2 linked regions of the Lytechinus pictus genome follow. The protein of the gene in region 2 interacts with the protein of the main gene of each other region in a biochemical or structural test. Links are inferred from orthologs where the notes say so. Each region holds a gene or a part of one and is shown on either strand. Other genes may lie near its edges.

Region 1 (3,759 bases), on a different chromosome or scaffold from region 2:
CCTCTTTGACCAACCAGCTCAAAGCTACAAAAAGACAATGTAACATGCCAGAAAAGTCAGTTGGGCTCTAAATATTAAACAGTTTTCTTCTTCTTTTAATCTCTCCCTGAAACCTCATATGACACATAATCTTTCCTCCATACATGTAGATGCTGAGTTCTCCTCCTTATTCATGCAAAAAAAATATATATATATTTTCCCCCCAATTAGAAGATTGTGCGTCAAGAATGAGAAATCTAAAATCCATAATATTTATATGGGCTTTGGTCGATCAATTTTGTCAAATTAAATCATAAAATGTGCTCTTCTAATTGGGATACTTATGAAAATTATTTTTAAAAACTTATTGTAGGCTTTGAGTCGGGTGATCACATCTTCCAGAAATTAATATGAAGTTTGACAATTCTGAAGTGCATTACAATACTTCAAGGGGAAGGGTGTATCATAACGCTGTTTTTATTAAAGAAAGTTACAAATGCCTTTATTAACAGATGGGATATGGAAAGCGATTGTTCTTCAACCAACCATTTTTAGTTGCATTATATTAAAGTTCTTGAATAAGTACCATTCTCCCTATGAAAACATATTTTTATGCCAAGTCTACAGTACATGTGTATGACTATATTTTGCCGTGTTTCTGTGACTACCGGTATATTTTGCAATAAATTCACAGGAATTTCATTTGAAGTACATGAAAAAATTAATGAGACTTCAGCCAAAGTTTAGGCTCTAATTTGGCACTTAAACTTCCAGATAATCATAAGAGCAGTTTATACATGTACATGTAGGTGTAATTTTATGAAACACATTTTAAAACATTCCAAAGTTATAGAAGGTTTTTGAGTCTGAATATTTATGTGGATTTTAGCATTGAAACATGCATTCTACAAATAATTAAGGGCTACATAATGTGGAAACCCATTAATAAATATATCCAAGTACCAAGAAGTACAAATGCATTCTTTGGATTCTGATAACTTAATCTTCTGTATCAAAGATAAAAATGCGTTTAAATATGATCATGTTTTGACCAAGGTTTGTAAAGAATAATCCCTGCATGTCATTACATTTCCTGCTTTAAGAAAAATACGTTACAACAAGATGCTGCATAATACGCACATCTACATTTTATACTCTTCCGTGCATGTTATTATGGAAGTCTCCCAAGTTTTTTTCTTTGTTCACAAAAATATCATACTAATAAAATAAGAGAGTAAGATTCTTGGTCACTGGAATATCAGTCAAACAAAAGTAACTGCTTATTTTGAAACTAATGTCAGCAATTGAAAGGGCCATGAAGAAGCAAATGGAGCACCTTGCATTAGGAAAAAGGAGAAGACACAAATAAAACAAGTGAAAATGAATTAAAAATATGGGTATCCCTAATATTCTTTTTACACTAGATGAGTTTCCTCTTGGTCGTCATCCTCCTTTCCACCTTGATTTTCGGTTTTCAATCTATCATTTTCATATTCCACAAAGTCATCAAAAAGGCTAGGCCAGGCTTCGTTGTCGTCATAGTTACTGAGATTATCTTTAATGACCTCTACAAAGTGCAGAAACATCTGCCATGTGTCTCTTGATATACCTTTAACATGGTTAGCAGTCAGGAAATTGCACCAGCGATCTAGGATAGGGGGTTGTCGGTAGAAGAAGACAAGCTTCCATAGAGGTATTGCAATCTCACAAGGTAAAGTTCTCTGGCCCCCTTCAGTGTCCAAGCCAAAGCCGAATGTGTACCGATAAAGATCCTTGAACATGGCTTCATTCGTCTTGACCTCGTGTCGCAGTTCTGGAAACTTGGCTTTGATAGCATTGATGGAGTCAGCACGTAGGGTGCGACAACCTTGGATGAATTCAGTCCGCGTGAAGCGGCACATGACTGCCGCCTGAAACTTCCATGCAATGACTAGTACTATAAAATCCTCTGGACTGACCTTAAGGTCCTGACAAAATCTTTCGGTGCCTTCCGCCAAAATGGCATCCTCAGAATTATCTTTATATTTTTCAAAGAGTTTGTTTGCCTTTCGCTCAGAGAAGTCTGACTTCATGGCTGCGTTTGTCTCTACACCGTTTTGTCGGGGGAACTGCTTGTGCGTGTCATGCGCAGGTCTGCTGTGACTACCATTATTCGAGTCCCCAGCAGGACGGAGAGGGAGGTTGCCTGCACGGCCTCCGGTTGTGCTGATATGTTGGACGTACTGAACTGGTTGGGCAGTAGGGTGCTCTATAGCTGTGGCATGATGAGGGGGCTTGGGAGGGAGTTGTGCTTTGTTCTTGCCATTCTGCTCTTCCACGTTGGTTGAACCTGGGTTGCAGACGGAGAAACACTTGCCCATGAGGGTGGCTTGGTGGATGGCGCCGGGCAAGATAGCCTGGGGACCATAGGTGAGCACTGGGGTTGTGTGGACCAAAACAAGGTCATATAGAGGAGAGGTCCCTCAAATTAATAACATCAGGACAGATCTGGGAAAATAAAAAGGTACAACAAAGTGAAAATTAATATACAAGTATGATACAAATAATGTGTACTGTACATTGTATAGCATCCAGAAACAAAATCTAATTGACAATGTATGCACATTCTTCATTCCCTGGGGAGTAATTCAGCCAGTCTTCTTGAGCCACTCACGATGGGCAAGCAAAATGACCATCCCTCTACCTCTCGTCCAACCAACTAAATGTGCATGTATATCACCAACACACAAATACTTTCTAAATCAGTTTCATTCATCCTAATGAGTCGTCCATTGAATATTGTTATGCATGAGCAGGTGCATTGCTGGAATACTGTACTCCCAGGTAGTAGAGAATGTGAATACACCCTGTATATTCTCTGTGTGTGCAAGACAGACCAAGATCCATTATTTCAGTAGTGATAAACTGTAAATTGTGGAGTTACAAAACTGTCAAAAAGTGATTGAGAAATGTTAATAATATCCAGATCATTATTAATATAAAGAACAAATCATAACAGACAATCTACATGTAGCCTACAATGTACATGTACATGTATCACAAAGACTACCCATTTTATTTTGGTTCAGAAGTGAACTTGAACCATATCACCAGCATGGAGAGTCTGTCTTTGATATAAAAAGGGGTCAAGTTACGGTTGTGTTATGATAGAGTACAGCTGCTAAAAAACCTGTACAAATACAGAGAACACTTTGTGACAAACAATATGTGTGCCACATTTTTTTTCAATTTACACTCATTAAACGGAAGGTATAGATGAAAATGGTCAGTAATTCAATAGTTCACTGGTTCAAATTGTACATAAAGTTAAGTCTGGCTAGCATGTCTTTTTTTCTGACAGATTGCCACTGCCCAGACATAATAAAATATAGCTCAATAAATTACACAATACTATCTAACTAGTGGACATTTGATTACTTAAATATAAACTTCAATCTAGAAATACAGCTGCTCCATAGCTGATCAGGATACAAAGCTTTTTTTCCAAAATAAATATTGCCTATTATTATGCAAATTTGTTTCTTTAGGTTCTATACCCCCTACATTGTACATAGAAGCATGTACTTTCTCTCTTTTCTTTCAACCCCCTCCCAAATATCTTCATCTCTCACTCATTCACCCCATCATTTTTTTTTCTTTCTTTCTTTCCTTTTTCTCTTACAATTTCTAATCAAAATCAAACAAAACAAAAGCAAAAGCTCCAACGCAGGTCAGGAGCGAGTGTAGAGGAAATCTGTTGCAATTTATTGCAAATTATTGCAATGTTATGTACCTTTATAA
Region 2 (3,759 bases):
AGAGTGATACCACAGAAGTCCTGTTGTAATTCTATATACAGTTTTGTACAACAGCAGTATCACACAGGTACGACAGAGTACCATTAAGGTATTGCATGAAATTTTCATATTTTCCTGTACCACAGAAGTATGACAGAACTATCACAGAGTGATACCACAGAAGTCCTGTTGTAATTCTATATACAGTTTTGTACAACAGAAGTATCACACAGGTACGACAGAGTACCATTAAGGTATTGCAGGAAATTTTCATATTTTCCTGTACCACAGAAGTATGACAGAACTATCACAGAGTGATACCACAGAAGTCCTGTGGTAATTCTGAGGTACCGTCGTGTATGACAGAAGTATCACACAGGTACAACAGAGTACCACTAAAGTACTGCAGGAATTTTTTGTAAGGGAGGGGCAGCGACAATTAATAAGATTATGAGTTTTATGCCCGGTCCCCCATGCACCACCCCCCCCCCCCCCAACTTCGGCTCAGCCACCATCCTCAATCTCAAAATCGGAGAGGCCTATTAAAAAATTCGGCTTGGTTTTTTTTTGTATGGTAATTTCTAACTGGGGGGCAACAATTAAGTATCCTAACAAAATTGACAAAAACGGATCTGGCTCATTACCCCACTAAACAGAAGTCAGTCGCAGTGATATACGTTTCATTAAAGGACTTGTCTGATGTTTTATCCGACAAGTCCTGTTCTCAGCCAATCAAAATCAAGGAATTTGTCAGATCTGACAATTATCATGATTATATTGTCAGACAAAAATTAATGTTAAACGCTGCATGCATTGGCCATGCATGCAGCTCGGACGTCGGATTAATCTTCTTCTTCTTCTGGAAACAGTGCAGTCCACCGTCTGGTGTATTGTCGTACTAATCGAGAGCTATAGGACTGCCACAGTCAGCTATAAAAGGTAAAAAGAGAATAACCCAAATATTCGGCAACCCCGCCCTGAGGTCATCTAAGGTCATCCCGATGCGGGTTGTATTTGCGCGCACTGTGCTTATAGTGAACTTTGACCTTTGTAAACGCACACACATTTTCTTCCGTGCAGCTTGCACAATACATGATACACAATAGGCGGAACTAAGGTGATGACTGCGAAATCGGACAATGTTTTTTCACGAATAGCAGATTGGAGCAGATAGAGACCTTGAATTTTTAAAAGAAGGAGTTGATGCCAACGAGAAAGTGTTACTGGAATGCACGATGATTAAATTGTTTTCCTTGAAAAAGCAGGCCGAAGCTGCCGCAGATCGGTCGGACGGAGACGGGAAGAGAGCGTCCGCTGCACAGCTGCGACTGCAGAAAGGTGATGTCGAATTGAATGAATGAAATGAAATGAGTGCGTGATCAGCTGAATTGAATGTCCATCGCTTTGCTGTTCTGTCTTCGCTTGAATGTTTTTATGACATACTGAACCGTCAAAAAGAAATACCTTCTGAAATTGAAATAAAGTAAATCTAAATTGATGATTATGAATATGATATAACATTGGAATGCCATGTCAATCAATGATTCAGAATTTCACAAACCTGTTCATTATTATTGATTAGGGGTCTACTCTAGTATAAAGTATAATAAATTGTCAAATTTCTCAAAATAATGAGGAAATATTTAACTAAAATTAAAAGTAAAAAGAATAAAAATCCAGCCCAAGGCCAGGTGAGAGTTTCTTAAAGCTGTTTGTAAAATGTAAGTTAAGAGCAACTTTAAGTTTAAGAATAGACAGCAGGCAGCCGTCTGTTTCGAGGAGTTTTTTAACATTTTTTTATTTTTTAAATTTCTCCTCATACACAGACGGCTCGCTATCGTGCAGCCACCATCAGGGGACTTACAATGCAAAATCCCCCCGTCGGGGCTCTTCAATTTTTGTCTTTAATGAATCAATTTTTTGAAAATTAACGCTACCGAAATGCAAATTAATATTCCCTCTTGGCATTAATTGCCAAAAAAGGGGGAAAATCAAGTTAAAAGGAACAAAAACAGTGACTTACCTCGGCTGTCGCGCAACTTCACTGCCCTGTTTTATCCGAACTTTATACACATAAACATATGGTCATTGAGTCCCCTGTACAGATCGCGCTAGAACTTCGGTCTCTGTATTTGGTGAGTGAAGCCAACGGAGTTCAGCTGAACAACCAACATAACAGAGACCGAAGCTTTTGGTCTACTTTAAGAACAATTGAATTGGTGAACCTTTCTTACCTGCAAAATTATTAATCACAGTTAGAGGGTGAGATCGGTTTGTATTGTCGAATTGTATTTATCTATGAACCTTCAGGCGCCTAATGCATATAAAGTGATAAAAATTATTTCACTATAAATGGTAAAAATGAGACGTTTCTTACCAGACCCGATCTCCCGTAGATCCCTCGATCCATTTGTCGACAAAGCAAAGACAATAGACCTGACCCTTGAATCGCTTCGTGATGACGTACTTCCGACTAGCGATGCCGTTTTGAAGAACAATGTATAGATAAAAATTATTATTTCACAAATACTAAAATTTATTACGTGATTATAAATAATAACAATACTGCTAATTAAAAATAAATCATGTGTTAAATTGTAGTATTTGTGAAATGATAATTTTTATCTATAAATTGTTCTTCAAAATGGCTTCGCTAATCGGAAGTACGTCATACATAAGCGGTTCAAGGGTCGACGCTATTGTATTTGCATTGTGTACATGTGGATCGAGGGATCTACACGACATCAGTCTGGTAAGAAACCTTCATTTTTTTTACATTTTTAGGGACCATTTTTTAAAACCTTCCTTCGCATTAGGCGTAGGAAGGTGTAGAAATGAATAAAATCAACATATTTTACGTGATTCTTTTATGAAAAGATGGATTTCCTAGGGAAATCCATCTTTGTTTACCTGGGTCTCATATACATATATGGGCGGGGGTTCAAGACTCCAATGATGAAGAAGTATATGTCAAAGGATTTTAAAAAGACATCATCATGGAGTCCTCAAGACTAGATTAAACTACCTTTTTAAATTCGGGCCACTATTTTCATTAAGCTTGAACATAATCTTGTTTTAAAAACAGAATGTGAAGTTGGTGTAATATTTCTTATTTGTTTTTTTTTTCTCTGTCATGCTCAGATCTTGGGGAGCTGAATCTACCAAAGACATGTCAGATAGATTTCCCTGATCCTGATGATTTACTTGTTTTCAAACTAGCCATACAGCCAGATGAAGTAAGTGTTTATATTCAATTCTTATATCGGAAACCTTCCTCACATTTGAAAAAATCAAAACTGGTCACATCTGCATTGATCTTCACTTGTTAATTTGTTACATTCAGGTGGAATTACCCATAGGCCTGTATTCTGAACCTGGACAAAATGCCCATATTGCCCCCCCCAAAAAAAAAAAAATTGTTATAGTCTCGCACAATATTTTTAGTATGCAAGTCCAACATTCCATGCAACTTCTTTTTCTAGCTAAAATATATGATCGTTTCTTTGACTGCATAGAAACAAGTTTATCAACTATAAATATCAGACATATTTTTTTATGTTAAGGCCACCGCACACCTTGCGATTGGTCTGCGACTCAATTTTGGAATAAAACGTAGTAGAATTTGATGCTTATATTGAGACTTGGAATATCTTACTGCGTAATGTTTGAAATCATCGTACGAATCCCTATGTTCAAATCTGTGACTATGCTAACATCCTTCTTAGAATAAAAGCAAATTTTATATCTAGTCGTAGTGACGTCATAGCAGTCGTACGATTG

What was found.
Region 1: the proteins of NEDD8-conjugating enzyme Ubc12-like (region 2) and DCN1-like protein 3 form a complex in vitro, tested with the Homo sapiens proteins (4 studies listed by BioGRID and IntAct). The link is inferred for Lytechinus pictus from reciprocal best matches to the Homo sapiens genes UBE2M and DCUN1D3.

Annotation. Positions count from the first base shown.
Region 1 is NC_087254.1:25,577,553-25,581,311, forward strand, and holds the start of DCN1-like protein 3, read right to left. Parts: upstream 2,463-3,759; 5' UTR 2,340-2,462; coding exon 1,395-2,339; 3' UTR 1-1,394. UniProt on the Homo sapiens protein: Contributes to the neddylation of all cullins by transferring NEDD8 from N-terminally acetylated NEDD8-conjugating E2s enzyme to different cullin C-terminal domain-RBX complexes and may play a role in the cell cycle progression by regulating the SCF ubiquitin E3 ligase complex, after UV damage.
Region 2 is NC_087253.1:11,992,630-11,996,388, forward strand, and holds the start of NEDD8-conjugating enzyme Ubc12-like, read left to right. Parts: upstream 1-1,010; 5' UTR 1,011-1,214; coding exon 1,215-1,317; intron 1,318-3,120; coding exon 3,121-3,215; intron 3,216-3,759.